2 linked regions of the Canis lupus familiaris genome follow. The protein of the gene in region 2 interacts with the protein of the main gene of each other region in a biochemical or structural test. Links are inferred from orthologs where the notes say so. Each region holds a gene or a part of one and is shown on either strand. Other genes may lie near its edges.

The links.
Region 1: of the proteins of FBXO7 (region 2) and UXT, one has a biochemical effect on the other in vitro, tested with the Homo sapiens proteins (2 studies listed by BioGRID). The link is inferred for Canis lupus familiaris from reciprocal best matches to the Homo sapiens genes FBXO7 and UXT.

Annotation. Positions count from the first base shown.
Region 1 is NC_049260.1:41,477,297-41,487,523, forward strand, and holds the start of UXT (protein UXT), read right to left. Parts: upstream 5,477-10,227; 5' UTR 5,317-5,476; intron 5,140-5,316; 5' UTR 5,131-5,139; coding exon 5,033-5,130; intron 4,051-5,032; coding exon 3,954-4,050; intron 3,829-3,953; coding exon 3,761-3,828; intron 3,484-3,760; coding exon 3,376-3,483; intron 1-3,375. UniProt on the Homo sapiens protein: Involved in gene transcription regulation. Acts in concert with the corepressor URI1 to regulate androgen receptor AR-mediated transcription. Together with URI1, associates with chromatin to the NKX3-1 promoter region.
Region 2 is NC_049231.1:32,000,678-32,010,963, forward strand, and holds the start of FBXO7 (F-box only protein 7), read right to left. Parts: upstream 6,321-10,286; 5' UTR 6,113-6,320; coding exon 5,991-6,112; intron 5,899-5,990; exon of another isoform or gene 5,808-5,898; coding exon of another isoform or gene 5,771-5,807; intron 2,303-5,770; coding exon 2,008-2,302; intron 1-2,007. UniProt on the Homo sapiens protein: Substrate recognition component of a SCF (SKP1-CUL1-F-box protein) E3 ubiquitin-protein ligase complex which mediates the ubiquitination and subsequent proteasomal degradation of target proteins and plays a role in several biological processes such as cell cycle, cell proliferation, or maintenance of chromosome stability.

The sequences.
Region 1 (10,227 bases), on a different chromosome or scaffold from region 2:
CTGACTCCCCTGACTAGAATGTAAGCTATGTAAGGGCAGAGAACACAGACTGATCTGCTTTGTTCCCTGCTGTATCCCCAGGAACCAAACAGTATGCAGCACATAGTAGGCACCAACATATGCTGAATAAATAACTGAATAGACTACTCCATTCAAAGGAACCTGAAGTCCTCAGGAGATGGTTTGAGTCTATGTTTAAAGACAAGAAATCAATGAAGCATGGCACTGTTGCCCGAGAACAGGAATGCTTTCAAGAATATCTGGGGTAGTAATTCAAAGAACAGAGTAATGAACCTGATTGGCTTCTAAGGACAATCTGAACATCAATAAAGAGAACAAAATTAGTTAATGGTACAAGCTTAGTTTAGGAAAGGCTATGAGTTGCAACACTTTTAAAAAAGGAGAAAAATACAAAGCCCACCAAATGCTAGTTGTAACACACAGGAGATGCTTCATTTTTTGCTACTGATTTAATAGGTAAAGCAGTATAAATACTCAAATGGTTACTGTCTGTTCTCTCTCCTTTTTAAAAAAGATTTTATTTTTAAGCAATCTTTACACCAAATGTAGGGCTTGAACCCACAACCCTAAGATAAAGAGTCACACACTCCAGCTACTGAGCCAGACAGGTGCCCCTATTCTGTCTCTTCTAGAGTTACATGTCTGTGGATGTGTTCTCCTTTCTATATAATCAGGAAAGAATATACACACAGATCTGATCCTCCCACTCCCCCAAAGAAATGTGCTAAAAGAAAGACTGGCTGACAGTCATAAAATAACCCGAAAGAAAGTTAGTTCAAGGTGTGTCCCAAATAACAAAATATTTTAAAAAGGAGAGTGAGCTACTCAGACTCAAATCTTCATCTCCTAGGAAGATTAAATTTCTAGGAAGCCCTCCTAATGATAATAAAGTAATAAGAGATCCAATCACATTTCTCATTCCAATAAACCAAGTCAATATATCAAAAAGACCAGACAAGTGGGAAGGCACTGACAATTTAAATACATTTTGGGGGAGAGATATCAAGTCTCAAAAAATGAAAATCTCTATCTGAAAGGCTCAGGAATTCCGTGACATAACAAGGAAAGCTCTGTTATAAAAAAAAATGGATGTGGTCTGAATGACCACTAGTTCAGAACTGTGTTGGCCCATGAAAGCAGGCCCCTTGACCCCTTCACTAATTGGTCTGATCACCAAGATTTAGAAATCTCAGCAGAGGGCACCTGGGTGGCTCAGTCACTTGAGTGTCTGCCTTCAGCTCAGGTCATGATCCTGGAGTTCCAGGATCCAGTCCCGCATCAGGCTCCCCGCTCAGTGGAGTCTGCTTCTCCTTCTGCCCCTCACCCCGCTCATTCTCTCTCTCACTCTGTGTCTCTCAAATAAATAAATAAATCTTAAAAAAGAAATTTCGGCAGATCTGAGGCTCTTTTGGGTCTACTAACACTTGGAAACCTTGGAATGGTTTGAAAAGAGAAGAATTACTAAAACCAGAAGAGAAGCAACTCTGGAATAAATGAATGTAGGCATAAACAGACCTAGAAGGCATTTTAGATAAGTGGTATTCACTCTTGTAAGATGGTATTAATCTAAGTGTTTTGCTTGGTATCCCCTCTTGTGGCATGTTTGCCAATCTTGGCAATTCTGCTAACACGGCACTCACACTGGTCCCCTTGCCTGTAATGCTCTCCCCACAAAGCCCCAATGGCTTGTTCACTCGACCAAGAGACTCAATTGTCACTTCCCCGGAAGGCCTTTCCTGGCTACATTTCAAACCTCTCATCCACACTTCCAATTTCCCTTCCCTGCACAAAGCCTTAAACTCAACTGGAGCCCATACTTTCTCCCTACATTACCTTCCTCTCCACCACCAGAGATGTGCTTCAATCCCCCCTCAATCTGTTCCTAGGATACCCTTTTAAATTCATTCAACAAACAGAGTACCTACTATATGCTATGTACTACTCTGGTCACTTGCGAGTATAGACAAAATATCTCCCTTTGTTTTTTTTTTTAAGGATTTTATTTATTTATTCATGAGAGACAGAGAGAGAGGCAGAAATACAGGCAGAGGGAGGAGAAGCAGGCTTCCATGAAGGAGCCTGATGTGGGATTCAATCCAGCAACTCTGGAGGCAAAGGCAGATGCTCAACCACTGAGCCACCCAGGCATCCCAATATCTCCCTTTGTAAAGCTTACATCCTAATGGGTGAAGGCAAGGAATTTTAGAAAGAAGTAAATTTCACAGCAAACATTAAGAGGTCATAAGTAGAACAAGGGAGGGGAATGAGGAGTGCCAGGGGCTGCAATTTTTTAAAAAAAGATTTTATCCATTTGAGAGAGAGAGACAGAAAGAGAGCACAAGCACATGCATGGGGAAGGGCAGAGGGAGAGAATCCCCAGCAGACTCACTGCTGAGCGCAGAGCCTGACATGGGGCTGGATCCCACGACCCCAAGATCATGACTTGAGCTAAAACCAAGAGTCAGATGCTCAACCAACTGAGCCACTCAGGTGCCCCCAGGGGTTGCAATTTTAAAGTTAGGTTACAGACAGCCTCGTTGAGGAGGTGACATTTAAGAAAGACTTAAACTATACTATATGTTGGCGAATTGAAATTTTTTTTTAAAAAAAGACTTAAACTGGGGATCCCTGAGTAGCTCAGCGGTTTAGCGCTTGCCTTCGGCCCAGGGCGCGATCCTGGAGTCCCGGGATCGAGTCTCGAGTCGGGCTCCTGCATGGAGCCTGCTTCTCTCTCCTCCTGTGTCTCTGCCTCTCTCTCTCTCTCTCTCTGTGTGTCTATCATGAATAAATAAATAAATCTTTAAAAAAACTATATAAAAAAAGACTTAAACTGAGTTAGGAAAAAGGAAGCTATGCATGTACCCAGGGAAAGCATGTTATAGGCAGAGAGCGCGGTTACCCTAAGATGGGATCACTCTGAGGGTGTTTCAAGAAGCCCAGGAAGATCAGTGTGGTGAGAGCACAGTGAAGGAGCAAGAAAATTAGGAGGAGGTGAAATCGGGAGGTAACTTGTTTTACTGATTTATAGGCCAAAACCTTCTGGATCTGGTCAAGATTAGGCCTTCAAGGAACCCTTCTGTCTTGTTCACTGTGGCCTCCCCACTGCCAAGTACAGAACCTGGCATAGAACAGCCAACAAATGTGTGTGTGAGTGAGCAATATCAAGACCATTTATGGAGTGCTTCCTATGTGCTATTCTTGGGGCTGAGCTTTGCATCTCTACTTTCCTCAGCCCTAGCCCTGGGGAGGAGGAGAAATGGGCCCTTAAGTATCTATCATCTCAGAGAGCCATGGGGAAAGGGAAAAGGATGTTGCAAATGGTGGTATTTTAGACACTTCATAGAATGGACTTACTCTGTGAGGAGATTGCTCTTACGATCAATGAACTTGAGAGCTTCTGCCAGTGTCAACTCCAGGAAAAAACCATATCCGAGCGCCACATAGATTCGTGAAGTGTCTGGGCTGAGGAAACAATGGTTAGAGGAAGTGGGGGAAGTCTTTATTACTGTTTAGCATACTATACAGTTTATTGGCAATTTTTTTTTACTCCACTCCTCCCACCTTCCCCAAATTAGAAGCTCTGAGAGGGCAGGGGTTTTGTCCTATTCGATTCACTGTCACATCCCCGGCACCTAGCACAGTGTCTGGTACATAGCAAATACTCAAAAAAAAATATTTGTTGCATGAAGGAAGGGGGAAGCTGAGCCCTGTGGGCTCAGAGGGGCAGGTAGACACTCACACAACTGTGTCAACGAAGAAGTTACAGCCCAAATCCACCTGCATATATAACTCCGAGGGGTTAGCTTCCTGTGGGGCCAGGGAAAAAGAGGTAGGGGTCAGTGGTCACCTTTCAGGTCAGCTGACAGGTTTTGGTCTGGGGTCTCTCCTCCCATCCCCCTCCCTTGCCCAAACACATCAAAATGGTCCCTAACCTTGGCTGTTTTTACCTGAAGCCGCTCAATGACATTTCTCAGTTGAAGGTATTTGGCCAGCTGCTCATATACCTTGTCGCGATGGTCCAGCACTTTTCTGATGGGACAAGAGGAAAATGGTGACCAACAGGAAGCCCTGGACCTGTCAGAATACCTCATATTATGACTGAGACCCTCATGTCACCATGCCTTAAAGAAGCATTTTAGTGCAGAAGTTGATTTGAATTGTGAGTCAGACTGCTTGGGTTTGAATCTAGGCTCTCCTTTTTACTAGTTGTGTGACTTCAGCAAATTCTTTAGGACTCATTTTCTCTTTAGGAGTCAATTTCCCTATCTTTAAAAAAGGGACGACAAGTATTACCTCACAAAGTCATTAAGAGAACTGTTTACTACAAAGCACTTACAATAGCACCTAACCAAAAACTAAGCTCTATATATGTTTTAGCTCTTATTTATTAGTACTATTACCACATTCCGTCCAATCAGGATGTCCCATTCTCAAAAAAAAAAAAAAAAGTGTCCCATTCTCACCCTAGAAAAATCTTCCATCCCTTTCAGGATGTTCATTATCCTGCTTCTGAACACTCTACTTCCTGCTCAGATTAATAGTGATAGTAACAATTTTTCATACTCATAGAGCCCCTAGTATTCACATTAAATCCTTTACAAGGGGGGAACACATTAAAAACTCAAAACCACCCCATGAGGAAGGTTCCATGAACTTTCCCATTTCACAGATAAGAAAACTGAGGCACACAAAGTCGAGGCAGCGTACAACGTCTTCACACAGATGGCGAAGGGGCCAGGCCAAGGATTCGAACCTAAGAACTCCCGCTTTAGAATCTAGCTCCACGGCTAAGTGAGATGGGAGGCCAGACAGGCGCGGACACACCCTCTACAAGAACCGCCACATCCCAGCCCAGTAGCACCCCGGATGTCGCCCCTCCTCGCCGGATCGGCGCACGGGGCTGGACTCCAAATGCCTTTCCCACCAATCAGAAGGCTAGACCCTGACTTTGGACGCCCCGCCCCCCCACGTGGAACCTTCCACACGCCCGGCCCTCCACGCTGCCACTCACCGCAGGTCCTGCTGTAGCACGTCACAGATGAAGGCCTCATAGCGCAGCACTTTCTCCCCCGTGGCTTCCACCGCCCGCCGTTTAGGGGGCGTCGCCATGATGGGCTCCTAAGGAATGGGGAGCGGAGCACACCACGTTGACCACACAGTTTGGCCTCAGGCACAGTACATCTGCACCCCCTCGACAGCGGGAGTGGGCTCGTTCGGCTCCGGCCGGGGTTCCGCCTTCTGCCCCTCCCAACTCTGGGACTCTGCCACCCAGGGACACCCAAACGCGGCCCTCACCTTAGAGCCGCCGGCAATAAGAACGGTTGCTATAAACCGTGGCTTCCGGGTGGCGCGGGTGAATGACGTACCACAAGGGCGCGGGCCAACCGAATAGCCGGGTGGGAAAGGCGGTTCTGAAGGGCTGGAAAGGGGCGAAGCGGAGGAGAGGAGGGCGGGGCTTTAGGGAATCCACCGAGTGTACTCCCGGCCGCGCAGCGTGGGAACGGGGCAGCGCGGAGCCTGTGGGGACTGAGCGTGGCTCGCGGGGGCGGGCCTTAATGGGATTTGGCGGGTTCCTGGGGGAGGCGGGGCGCACAGGTGGCGAGAGAGAAGCGTGTAGTATTTAAAAGTCAGAGCTTCGGAAGCAGACGGGCAAGAATTGGTTATGGTTCTGGTTTGTAAAAAGGAGAGTACATCCCGGGAACTGTCGCCATGGATTTTGATTTTTCGCACGGGAGATTTGGGTTTGATTCCCAGTAATGGGAATGAATGTGAGCATTAAATTTTTTTTTTTAAACGGAGACAGATTCTCTGAAACTCAGCTTTGGTAACTCCAGTTTGCAACCTGCCATCCATAACTAGGATCCAAGCAGATATTGACAAAACACTATGTCTATTACCTCGTCTAATAGAGGCATCAGGTGGCGGGTCGCTGAAGTCCTCTGCTCAAGATCGGCTATTCTGTAGTTAGAAATGTTCCTGAGTCTTTATTTAAATGTATAAACTTTTATTTATTTGTATGCACTCAAGTTAATGAATTTATTTCCCATGTTACATTTTCAAATAATAGCATCATACCCAGCAAGTCTTGGCTGAGCCTGAAGGAGAACACAGATACCAAATCCCTCAAATGCTATGCCTGCCTATAGGGCCGAGAGCCCCCACTCATGCCAGTGATGTCTTCTCAGATACTTTGTGTGTTTTGTGTGTAAAGGCAAGTTTTTCTTTCAAATGCTCAAAACCTAAGCAAGTCAAGCTTTTCTTTGCCCTAAGAACAAGATGATTGGAAAGGACATGTAATTTTTTAAAATGTTTTTTTGTAAATCTTCAAATATTACATATAGTTAAAGTTACATTTCGTGTGATTGAAATAGACACCAGGTAGTTAGACAACTATTATTGAGTTAATCTATACCATTTTCCTATGGGGAAAAAAAGAGGTGTTATGTTTATTATCTTTATTTATATATTTTAAAGATTTTGTTTATTTATTCATGAGAGACAGAAAGGCAGAGACACAGGAAAAAGCAGGCTCCATGCAGGAAGCCCGATGTGGGACTCAATCCTGAGACTCTGGGATCATGCCCTGGGCTGAAGGCAGGCGCCAAACCGCTGAGCTACCCAGGGATCCCCCCATGTTTATTATCTTTAACACAAAACAACACAGAGTTCTGAAGAACTGAAGATAGGTCTGTGCAAATCTACTAACTTACATTTCATAAAGCATTTTTTACTTTTTAAAGAAAAGGTTCTATTTATTTATCTGAGAGAGAGAGCATACACGCACCATGGGAAGGGTCAGAGGGAGAAGCAGACTCCCAGCTGATCAAGGAGCCCAACTTGGGGCTTGATCCTAAGACCCTAGGATCATGACCTGAGCAGAAGGTAGACGCTTAACTGACTGAGCCACCCAGGTGCCCCCTTTTTTTACTTTTTAAAAACATGTTACCAACTTTATTTTGACATTTTAAACCTACAGAAAAGTTGGCAGTGAACACCCATAGAGCCTGCATTTGGACTTGCCAAATATTAGTATTTGACCCCATTTGCTTTTTCCCTTTCTGAACCACCTGGTAATTGTTGTCATGGCTGCATAGCATTCCATGTTTTGGATGGCCTCAGAATTTTTTTTAAAGATTTTATTTATTTATTCATGAGAGACAGAGAGAGAGAGAGAGAGAGAGAGGCAGAGACACAGGCAGAGGGAGAAGCAGGCTCCATGCAGGGAGCCTGATGTGGGACTTGATCCTGGCTGGGTCTGCAGGATCAGGCCCTGCACTGAAGGCGGCGCTAAACCGCTGAGCCACCTGGGCTGCCCCCGCCTCAGAATTTTGAACCATTTCCTATGCTATTGGATGTTTGGATGTGTCCCAGTTTTTTTTTCATTGTTATAATCCAGGATGGGATAACAGTCTTCGGTTTCAGATTTTTGTTTACAAAATTATACAAAATAATTTTTTGTTTGTTTTTGTTTTTGTTTTGTATTTGTTAATTATTTGTAATTGTTTACGAAATTATACAAAAATAATTTACAAAATTATTTCCTTGTAATAAATTTCTAGATGTAGAATTATTGATCTAAAGGAGGTCACTGAATTGTCAATCAAGTATTAGCTGACAATTGTACATATTCCTGATAAACTTCCTCATCCAAGCTCTGCATCAGGAAGAGTTTGCTGACCCTTGATGTTTTTCTACAGCCTGCAATCTAAGAAGACTGCTTTCACTTTTTTAAATACTTGAAAAAAGTAAGAAAAATATTTTGTGTCATTTGAAAATTACATAAAATTCAAATTTCAGTGTCCAATAATAAAGTTTTACTGGAACATAGCTGTACTCATTTACTTATTGTCTGTGGATGCTTTCATGCTTATTCTGGCAGAGTAGTTGCCAAAGAGACCATTTAGCCTGAAAATCCTAAAGTATCTACTATCTGGCCTTTTACAGGAAAAGCTTGCCAACTCCAATCATGTCAGCACTATACAACCCTGTGAATCACTAATACATATGTTAGGGTTAGTGGGCCTAAGTATGTGAGCCTCCCAAGCTTCCACTGGTGATTTCTTACCTGGCTTATGAGTGGGTGTTTTCAGGCTGGTGCTTCTGGGAGACATGAGGCAGACTGTGTCTCTCATCTCTATTTGTATTTTCTCTCCCTCCCAGCCAAGGAAGGAAGAGCAAGAAATGACAGGCCCAGATGAGTTAGAGCTTAGGTGTTCATTTACTGCCTACTTTATTTTCTACTGGATATTTGGAACCTGATAAGAATATATCTCATAAAATTGAAAAATAAAGGCAGGATCACAAAAAATGCAAACAAATAGAAGATTAATATCAGGGAAAATTGGGATGTAGGTATGAAATTCACTTCTGTACTTAACTGTGGATTTGTCTCTGATCTTCCTACCACAATAGCAAAAGGGGAAATGGAATCAGTTATGTGATTTGTATTGTCTGCGAGGAAAAAGCATACCAGTTCATCAGCAGAAGGAAGTATTTCATGCCATTCACCAGGAAACAGTAAAGTTAGAACTCTCTCTTACTTCCTACACTAAAATAAATTCCAGGCGGATTAAAAATTTAAACATAAAAATAGAACCATCAGTGTGTGAGAAGGAAAAAAAATGGGAAAATATTTATTATTATCTTAGATTGAAGTCCTTTCTAGTGATGACATAAAATTCTGAAGTCATGAGAGAATAATATATTGATACATTGTGTTCATAAAATTAGTGAATGCACAATTAACCTTAAAATCTTAAAGCCAGGGGGATCTCTGAGTGGCTCAGCGGTTTAGTGCCTGCCTTCGGCCCAGGGCATGATCCTGGAATCCCGGGATCGAGTCCCACATCAGGGTCCCTGCATGGAGCCTGCTTCTCCCTCTGCCTGTGTCTCTGCCTCTCTCTCTCTTTCCCTCTCTCTCTCTCTCGAATAAATTAATAAAATCTTAAAAAAAATCTTAAGGCCAAATGGCAAATTGCAAAGAAAAATTTGCAACAGATGCAATCAATGGCTAGTAAACTTAATATATAAATACTGCTACAAATCAGTATAAAAGCCCAACAATTTATTTTTTTAAAGATTTATTTATTTATTTATTCATAAGAGACACAGAGAGAGGCTCCAAGGCTTGAACTCAACCCTGAGATCAAGACCTGAGCTAAAATCAAGAGTAGGACACTTAACCAAATGAGCCACCTAAGTGCTCCTAAAAATAGGGATCATTTGATTTTATACAGTAAAATACTTCAAATTACTGCCAAGCAACCTTTGAAAGCAGATTTGTTTATTATGAATAATACAAAAGGGTTTTTTAGAATCATGGACATATAGTGCAATGATAGCCATGTATAATACATAGTAGAAAAATATGCTTTCTGAACTATTATTAATTGGTCTGCTGAATTCACGATAACCAAACTAAATTATGAATGTATCTTTATAACTGGATTCTAATAGATAATGGGCATAATTTAGCCAGGTACTATATAGAATGTTAGTAACGAAGCCATATATTTAATGTGTGGATTTAAATATTCTAAACAAGCTTCTTGGTTCTTTTCCTGTAAAAGGATGAGAGACTAAATATTTGAGGCTTTGCAAGCCATCAAAAGACATCAGATAATGGAAGGGATAAAAAAGGGACACTTGGGTGATTCAGTGATTGAGCGTCTGCCTTTGGCTCAGGGCATGATCTGGGGATCCGGGATCGAGTCCCACTTCGGGCTCCTTGCATGGAGCCTACTTTTCCCTCTGCCTGTGTCTCTGCCTCTCTCTCTCTCTCTCTCTCTCTCTCTCTCATAAATAAATAAAATCTAAGAAAAAGGAATGGATTAAAAAAATGCAAGACCCATGTATATGCTGCCTACGAGAGACTCATTTCAGATCAAAAGACATCTGCAGAATGAAAGTGAGGGGATGGAGATCATGCCAATGGATGTCAAAAGAAAGCTGGGGGTGTGCCTGGATGGCTCAGTCAGTTATGTGTCTGCCTTCAGCTCAGGTCATGATCCCAGGGTCCTAGGATCCATGCTAAGCTCCCTGCTCAACAGGGAATCTGCTTCTCCCTCTGCCTAACCACCCCTCCCCCAGCTCATGCTCTCTCTGTCTTCTCAAATAAACAAATAAAATCCTTTAAAAAAAGTTCTAAAAACTGCAGTTGCAATACTTATTTTGGAAAAAATAGACTTTAAAAAAAGACTTAAGAGA
Region 2 (10,286 bases):
ATAATAAATTTTTTTAAAAAATCAGGGGATTCCTGGGTGGCTCAGCGGTTTTGCGTCTGCCTTTGGCCCAGGGCGCGATCCTGGAGTCCCAGGATCGAGTCCCACGTCAGGCTCCCGGCATGGGCCTGCTTACCCCTCCTCCTGTGTCTCTGCCTCTCTCTCTCTCTCTCTATGTCTATCATGAATAAATAAAAAATAAAAAATAAAAAAATAAAAAAATCATAAAAACATTTTGAGCCTTATAAAGACTTCTTAAATCATTTAATCTCTCTGGATACATTATTAAAAATCTCTGAGACACCTGAATCAGTTAAATGTCTCTTGATTTTGACTCAGGTCATGATCTCAGGGTCACAAGATCGAGCTCTACACTGGGCTCCACACTAGCTAGGCATGGAGCCTGCTTATTAAGATTCTCTTTCCCTCTTCCTCTGCCCCTCCCTGCCCCTGCTTCAGCGTGCGCAGTCTCTTAAAAAAAGAAAAAAATCTTGACATAGATGATTTTCATACTTTACCAATCTTTTAAAAAGTGTTTCTTAATATCTGTCCTGTACTTAATGCCACGACAGCACAATGCATACTTATACTCACAAATGTTTAAGGTCTGAAAGAAAGAAACTAAGCTGAAGTGATAAGTATACACAAAAAAACAATGAACACAACAGCACAGTCTTAAAAACTAAATAATACATGTGATCCAGAAATAAAAAGCTTTGAAATCAATTGCCTCGTAAGCACCAAGGCAATAAGGATCATCAATACAAAGAAATGAGACAGTCCCTGGGCTGTGGCTGGCAGGACCTTGGAAGATGGGCAGAGACAGGAGAGGGAGGAAAGGCCATGCATTCCCAGCTGGGGGTATAGCAAGAGCAAAGGCATGAAACAGTGGGTAGGCTCTGTGTGTGTGTGTGTGTGTGTGTGCGCGCCAGTGAGAACATATGAATGTGCTGGCTGGTACAGGGAAACTGATAAAGGAGTCTGACTGGAGATGATAGTTCACTGGCGGGAAGAACACAAACTAGCCCCAAAAAACCTTAAAAGCTGGGTACAGGAAGAGAGGCAACATTTTCCTCCTAAGATGATAGGGTTAAACACAGACAGGTCTTTTTCAGCTCAAAAATTATAAGCACAGGTAGAATCAGTGACATAGTTACGGGACAAGCAAGGGAACCACATAATCAAAACTGTGCAGGGAAAACTTGAACACAAAAAGCAGACTGAAGGACAGACATTGGAAGCCTGGAATGGAAAGGAAAAACTGACATGGCTTGTTAAGAGGTTGGATATAAAGCATCAAAAATCACTCCAGGGTTTTATTTTATTTTTTTTTTTTAATTTTATTTTTTTTTTTTAATTTTTATTTATTTATGATAGTTACAGAGAGAGAGAGAGGCAGAGACACAGGCAGAGGGAGAAGCAGGATCCATGCACCGGGAGCCCGATGTGGGATTCGATCCTGGGTCTCCAGGATCGCGCCCTGGGCCAAAGGCAGGCGCCAAACCGCTGCGCCACCCAGGGATCCCTACTCCAGGGTTTTAAACTCAAGGAAAACAGTGGTGCCACTGACAGAATGGCTGGTTTGAGAAGAGAACATTAGTTCATATTTCCAAATTGATGTTGGCACAAATGGTGAGACAGCAGCGCTTAAAATCCAGGTAATAAATGTCCTGCAAATAATTTGGAAATAACTGGACTCTAGATAGCCTGAACGAGTAGAGCAGACAAGAGTGGTGAGGCTGGGAATCACAAGCTCATAGGCAGCAACAGGAGCCAAGGGACAACTTATCTGAAGGAGAAAAGGTCTGAACGAAATAAACAGGTAAAAACTGGGTTCTCTCGAATGGCAGTCAAGTAATGGTCCAGGCATTTAGCAGTTTAAAAAATTTCTACAAGACTATAATCTACAATCTACTACTAATAATTATCCTGACTGATACAGAATCCAACTGAGGTATTCAAGTATGCTTTGTCAACCACCTCATTTCTCATTTTGCTATTAATACCTACCATATTGTCCTCATTCCAGACATCAGTTTGGGCTGCCTGTCCTTGGAATGAATTACTGGGCTGTTCATTCTGTATGCTGGACCCATTGGAGCTGGCGGCCAAAGAGGGTGGGTCATTATTCTGGAGTGAGGAATGCTCTGAATCTGTGGATGAAGGTAAGTTAGGTGCTGGAATGGCATCTTCAAGAATCAAACATATCAAGTCCCCAGAAACAATCCCATATGAAGCCAAGGTCTCTTCATCTCCAGTGAGGGCATCCTTGTTGTTCAATGTGATTGCAAACCGGGTATCAGAACTGCCAAGAAAGATGGATAAGGATAGTAAGAGCTACCTACCATTACCTGGGAACATACGTAAGGTACATGTTATGATCCTAGGAGAATAAAATAATGAAAACAAAAATAAAAAGGAAGCCAAAGCTTTACAAAAAACTATCAAAATTATTTGTTCTTAGCACCACATTCCCTGGGTTATAGATCTCTAATGGCTACAATTCTAGCCTGGGGGACACAATATGGTAATTCTCTATCAGTAATCCATCCATGTTCTCATCAATTCTAACATACATATTTTACATCTTTTGTAATTATGCTATCTTCAAAACAGGGATGCTTCTTAAAATTGATGACAAAAAAAAATTGATGACACATCACAACTTAATTGCCAGCATTTTCCCCTTTAGCATTACATAAAACAACATAAATCTTAAGATTGACAGCAGCTTAAGATTCAGTCAATGAAATATAGCCCTTTTAAAATACAAATCACGTCATTCCTCTGCTGAAAATCCTCCAAGGGCTTCTATTTTGAAACCGGAACAGAATCTTTAACATGGCCTTCGACACTTAACATTTGACCCTTCCCCAGTGCTCCTACCACATCCACTCCATCCCCTCAGTTACTGTTCTCTGCCAATATAAGCTTTCTATCCCTTCTTCAAAACAAATCAACCTCACTGCAGCCTCTGGTCCTCAGCATTTGCTCTTCCAGATCTTCAAAGGACTGACTCTCATCATTCCAGTAATTCAAATACCACCTCTTCTGATATTCCTTCCACCTAGCCTCCATCACTCTATTCCACTCTGTTTCAGTTTTATTTTAACATCACTGTTTAAAAATTCCCTATTTATCATCTCTTCTCCACCCCCACCACTAGAATTTAAGTTTTTCATAAGGTCGTTATCTGTCCAGTTCAAAACTGTATCTCCCGCTCTTGGCAAGTAAAAGTATTTGTGGAATAAATGCGACCAACAGGGCACCTGGGTGGCGCAGTGGTTGAGCATCTGCCTTTGGCTAGGATCGTGATCCTGGGGTCTTGGGATCAAGTCTCTCATCAGGCTCCCCATAGGGAACCTGCTTCTCCCTCTGTATGTGTCTCTGTCTCTCTCTCTCATGAACAAACAGATAAAATCCTCAAAAAAAAAAAAAAAAAAAAAAAAAACAACCAACAACAACAACAAAAACCTGCAACCAACAAACATCAGTTGGTAAGATGGAAATGAAACTGAAATAAGGGCTCCCTAGTCAATGTATTTACAGGACAGTCAGCTATGTCTCTTCCAAAACACTAGACCCATGTCCAAGATAAATACTAACAATCACAAAAACATGAGAATATAGAGGACCGAGTATAAATGCATCCCTCCCACTGTTAAGTACAAGGTCGCCTTTGTTACTGATAACGTTATGTATGATGTCTTTTATAATGACAACAGCACAAATCCCAAAGTCCACTGCTAAACAGGAGCTCAAATTAGCCTGAAACAAACTCTCCTCCCTTCCACATCATAGGCTCTCTGATTTGAGAGAATATCCATCATTTCATCACATAGTGGTGCGGAGTAATTAACAAATCGCTGCACATTTTATAAGACACTTAGACTCAGCAATGCTAACTTCATTAACTTTTTGAGAGGTTAACCAAGGATTTGAAAATCATGTTCTGTTTATTCTTGCAATGCTGCATTTTCAAAAGTACGCAAAATAATTCATTTTCTTTCACATGTAAAAACACTTTTTCTTACCAATTAAAGTGTCTTTGGTAGAGAAATTACTAAAATTTTAGAAACTACTCCTGCTTATTAGGAAATAAATAGCTATACTTCTGTTTTCAAACCCATGAATAAATACTGAAGATGCCCCCCAAAAAAACACTATCCCAAGAGAAAAATGTCTCATATGAACTATGTGTTTATGGATCATCTGTCACAGCAAAAGGTTTTTTTTTTTTTTTCAAACAATGTCAATACAATGTTCATCCAAACAACCACCTGTAGAAAAGCTAAAGAACCATATAATTAATAAAAATGCTGGACTTCCCTCCCCATTTAGGAAAAGGGAAGAGCTACTTCTAAAGTAACATATAACTTTCCAGTGGAGGGGTTAAAAACTGAAAAAATTCAAATTCATCAGAAAATGCTATCTTAGAAACACCAGGCCTTTAAAAAATATTCATGTCAGACCCAGATCCACTTGCTCAGTGAAGACACTTAAAAAATAATAGTGTCCTACCGTTGTATTTTAGAACTACCCATTTATTATAAAGTGAACATATTTTCAGAAGAATGAATTTACTTTCAGAAGCTGAAGCTTACATTCCTTCCAGTTAACCAGCCTCAACTATAAAAACAAACCCAAAGGAGAAACTAACTTGGGCTCTTAAACAGTCCTTTCAGGAGTGCCCTTAATTAAAAAAAAAAAAATATTAATGAAATACACATACATACATATGAAAAAATATTTTAAAAAGAAGGTCCTTTTGAGATTTCTGGTGGGGTGATGACATTAACATACAAAATGCTTAGGCTTACCACCAGGAAATAACAATAGGCGTGTCACTTAATACAACACTCAACAGTTCAAATCTCATTTTTGATTTGGAGAAAAAACAGGCTTACTTTTAATATAGTAAATGAAAATGAAAAATGAAAGGTGACAAGTTCATAACATGGCCTCATTTTATTCTATTCCCTAAAAATAAAGTCAAAATCTATAAAAGTCTCAGAAAAAGGACCCACTTAGGGGCACCTGGGGGGGGGGGGCCCAGCTGGTGATCTCGGGGTGCCCGGATCAGTACCGCACCCGGCTCCCCGCAGGGACCCTGCTTCTCCCTCTGCCTGTGTCTCATGAATAAATAAAATCTTAAAAAAAAAAAATCCGCTTAATTAACAGAAAGGTTTCCTTTTGAAGAATTCACCTAGAAAGCCCCAGCGACTACCCTTGTTTCCTCAGCACGCTCAAACGCCCAATTCGCTCGCTCAGTTCGCGAAGAGGCCCACCCCTAGCTTTGTCCCTCGGCCCCCAGACTGTCATCCCCGGAAAACACTCGGTGGAAACGAAGTCTCATTTGCAGCCCCATTAAATTAATAGCGGATTCCGGTCCTTGATTTCTCAACGTCACTGCCCCCAAACCGCAAGCCCTCCAGGGTCACCCCAAGACCCACGTTTACCTTAGTTTTAGCAAAAAAGCAACAGCTCGGCCGGGGAACCAGAAGCACCGCAGCACCCACACCCTGAACCGGGTCCCGCCGCGGGCCGCGCACCGCCCGGCGCAGCCTCCAGCCCGCTCACGGCGGCCTCGGAGCGCGGGCCGGTCCCTAACTTCTGGAACTTTCCCGACGTGTTCCCCGGAACCCTGCGACCGCCGGGGACGGTGACCTGCGACCCCACCGAGCCCGGGAAAGTCCCCCCGGAGCCGAACCCCCGCGCCCGCCCCGGCCGGTCCCCGGCTTCCCCTGCGGCAGAAACGAAGGCGACGGCTCACCCTGCAGGGGGACCGGGTCCCCGGGACGCCGGGCCATGTCGGCCGCAAGCCGGGGGCCGCCGAGCCGCAGCGCTAGCGCCCGCGCCGCCCGGGCCTCCGCGCGTCACAGTCCCGGGGCCCTACCCCCGCCGCCCCGCCGCCCCGCCTCACGTGACCGCCCGCAGCAGGCGGGGAGCCCCCCGCGCCCCCCCGCGCCCCCGCGCCCCGCCCGGCCGCCTACCCGAAGCCCCAGGAGGGCAGCAGGGCCTGGCTCAGGTGCGCGCGCAGCTGGCCCAGCGTCGGCTCGGCGTCGGGCAGATCCAGCGGCCAGGTCCGCTTCTGGAGCCGCACCCGCAGCTTCATGGCGGCGGCCGGAGGCCCGGGGGCCCGGGGGGGGCGGGGGCGACTACCGGAGCCGCGAGGGTGCCGAGGAGGAGCGGAGAGAAGGCCCCGCCACGGCCCCTGCCGGCCGGTCTCTGGAACAGGAGCGCCTGCCCCTCGCGTGAGGGCGCCCCCTGGAGCCACCCCGCGGGCGGGCGGGTGGCGGGCGGCCCCCGCCCAGCCCCGCGGCTCGGCGTTCTGCGATCGATGACTCGGCGCGCAACGGCGCCGCCTGGGCGTGAGAGGCTCGCAGTGCGCAGGTGCCGCGGCCGCCACGCGGGGCGGGGGCGGGGCCGGGGGCGGGGCCGGGGCCTGGGCGGGGCGGGGGCGGGGGCGGCGCGGCCCCTTCGTGGCCAGGGCTGTGCCGGCTCCTCCCAGGCGGCCGCGGAGGACGTTCCGTCGAGGGCGCGGCTGCGGGGTGCGTGACTCGCCGCTCTGCGGGCCCGGGCGTGCCGGGCTCGTGCCGCCTGCGCTCCGCGGCGCTCAGCTCCAGCCGCAGGCCTCGGCTCTGAGAAGCCTGCGGTGCAGCCCAGGCTCTGCCCGTCTCCTCGTGGAACAGCAAAATATGAAACAGCTTGTGGTCCCCTGATCTGTGTCGGAGACGAGAGGAGTAGTGTGTCGCTCAGCAATCACCCCAAAGCTTCGCAGCCTAAAACTACGAATATTAATTGTCCCAGAGGTTCTGTATGGGCACGGCTGGGTGGGTGGGTCTGTCTTGGTCTCTAGAGATTCCAGGCAAGATGTAGGCCGGGGCTGCAGTTACCTGAAGCCTTGACTCAGGCTGGAGAACCTGCTTGCAGGAGAGCTCCCCCGACTGTGGGCGGGAGGCCTGGTTTCCACGGCGTGGACCCCTCCGTAGGGCCAATGGAGTGTCCCCGCGACACGGCATCTGGCCTCCCTCCTAACACGTGGTCCCGGAACGACCAAAGCAGGAGCTGCGATGTCTTTTGTGCTCTAGCCTCGGAAGGCAGGCACCACCACTTCTGTCATTAGAGCCAACCCTTCAGTGTGGGAGGATCAACCCAAGGGCATGAATAGCACTGGACAGGGATCACTGGGAGCCGCCTGGGAGAACCCTATCCTGGGGAGTCGGACAACAATGATGATAACTTAGGGAATGGTCAGATTTCATCCTTGTATGCTAGCCATTGTCCAAATCATTATTAGAGTTGAATGAAGTTTCTCCCAGTAGGTGGCAGTACTTGTCCACGTCCTGATCTTCAAACAGGCATCAACACCTACTTTGGGCCAGGTATTATTCCAGGTGCCTGGGGACTCAAAGAATGAGTGCAGAGTTTACAGTTGAATGAATCAACTCTTGTAGTAGAGTGTAATGATTTTTTTTATTATAAAGAACAATCCCGAGGGGTGGGGTACATACAGAAGAGTGATTGTGCCCCTAAATTCTTTAGTGGCAAGCAATATGAGATTAAGGAAGGCTGGTAGGAGCAGGGTGGCTCAGTGTGACCAGAGGGAAGGACAGAGTGGGTACTTTTCCAGATAAAGCTTTGAGCTAAGCAAAGGATTTGAGACACATTCTAGAATGTATGGGAAGCCAATGCAGAGTTTTAAGCAGGGGATTCTTTATCAGGTTTCTTGGTTCTGAGCAATAGAGATTGAGTCTGGCTGACTAACAGGGAACATGTTAAAAAGGATACCGGATAGCTCCGGGAATTCTGTGAAGGACTAAAGAAGTGGTTCCGGGCTAATTCCAGAAGTGAAACTCAGAACCACGCTGAAGAACTGGCCTGGTGAGGAAACTACTATGACTGATTGGGATTGCAGCTGCTGCTGCTGCCGCACCCCGCCCCAGGATGACACTGCTGTCACCCTGACAACCACTGCAGAATGGCTGCCACCTTCAAATGCCACAAGTTGTTACAGCCTCCTGCACCAACAAAATGCCAAGCTTCCAAAAGAGCCTATTTTCTCACCTTACTTCTAAATCAAAGGCTCATAGGGGGCATCTAATTGAGGGAGACTGAGGCCCACGTCTGAGTCCTGGCTGCAAAGGAGACTGAAATTGGGGGTCTAAACTCTTCCTTAGAAAGGCAGGACCTAAAATAATTGGAATTTCCTCAGTGCAGAAAGGCCATTCAAAAGACGGTAGGAAGCCATGAGTCTGACAGATATACACCACAAGGGGCATAGCTGAGATCTGAAATGTGAACCTATCACCTATTGAGTGTAGGGGATATATTAGATCAGGGTTCCTCAACCTTGGCACTGTTGACATTTCGGGCTTCCTGAGTCTTAGTTGTGGAGGACTCATGTATGCCTTGTAGGATGTTTAGCAGCATCCCTGATCTATCCACAAAATGCTACTAGAAACCTCTCCCCCAATTGTAAAAACCAGAGCTGTCCTCAAACTCTGCCACATACTCCCTATAGGGCGAAATTGCCTTGAAAACCACTGGATTGGAGACCAGCTGAGTTTGAAGGCTCTTTTGGTAACTGAGAGAAAAAAAAAAAAGGAATTAGTAGGATGACAGTAAGAATAGAGATGATGGGTGGACAGGTATGATATTCCAGAGGCAGAAATAATAGAAGCTGGAAAATGGCTATATTTGGAGGCCTTATTAGTTAAGGATATAGCTTCAGCTGCCCTAAGAGATCCGAAATAATAGTGACCAACAAGATGTTTATTTCTCTCTCAGATACCATTCTTGGAGAAAGCAGTGCAAGGCTAATATGATGGCCATCTTTAAAGACCATCTACCGCAGTCTACCTCTTAGTACGATGTAAACCTGGATAAGTTATTATCAATAAAAATGAAAATAGTAATAAGAATGTATCAAATATATCTGTGTTTTATTTTTTATTTTTTTAAAGATTTTATTTATTTATTCATTAGAGACACAGAGAGAGGCAGAGACACAGGCAGAGGGAGAAGCAGGCACCATGTAGGGAGCCTGACGTGGGACTCGATCCCAGGACTCCAGGATCACGCCCTGAGCCAAAGGCAGATGCTCAACCGCTGAGTCACCCAGGCGTCCCATATCTTTGTTTTAAAGATTGAGATAATACCTTTACTGGTTTTTTTTTAAACCACTAAATTTGTGATAATTTATTAAAACAATAGAAAACTAAACTAACTGGGATCTTTGTCTCAATCATTTGCCCAACAGGGTATAACCACCAACATGGCAGAAATAATCCAACCACAGAGGTTTAGAAGGGTCCTGGAAGAGAACCAGAACATCACCAAGGCACCAGCAAGATTTAAGGTACTCTAGAGGATAATCCTCCAAAACTTCAAAGATCTATGACAATGTTATATACCCCTTCTCTCAACTATTTCCCTCCTTGAGAACTTTTTAAAATTTCTTGCAGGATGTCACTTTAATGTCTGCAAGCGACAATTGCTGCAACTTTCAAAGAGTTCAGAAACAAAAAATGTTAATGGACCATTTTATAGAATAATAAAAGGGACAATGTCGCTGTTCTATGGGAATACATACCCTTCCTGTAGACTTTTTTAATAAACATTTTATTTTAGAATGATTTTAGATTTATAGAATGATTATAAAGACTTATATACCACATCCCCAATTTTCCCTATCAATAACATATTAGACGAGTGTGGAACATTATCACAATTAATGAATTGATGTGGATTCGTTTGTATTAACCAAAGGCCCTACTTTATTCAGATTCCCTCAGTTTTTTCTTAATGTCCTTTTTCTGTTCCCAGATCCTGTCTAGGACACCACCTTACACTTAGTCATCATGTCTCCTTAGGCTCTTCTCAGCTATGACAGTTTAATGACCTTGACAGTTTTAATGATTACCAGCCAGGTAGCTTGTAGAACATCCCTCAATTGGGATTTGTCTGATGTATTCTCATGATTAGACTAAGGTAATGTACTCCTGGGAGGAAAACCATTGAAGTCAAGATGCCATTCTCAACACATCAACAGTGCATACTGTCAATATGACTTCTCCCAGTTGCTGTTAATTCTGATCACTTGGCTTCTCCACTGTAAAGTACTCCTTTTTTCTATTTTTCATATTATAGCCTTTGGAAGAAAGCCACTATGCACAGGCCACACTTAGAGTGGTAGTTATGCTCCACCTTATTAGGGATGAAGTATCTAAATAAATTATTCGAATTTCTTCTGTACAGGAGATTTGTCTATTCTCTATTCAAACCTT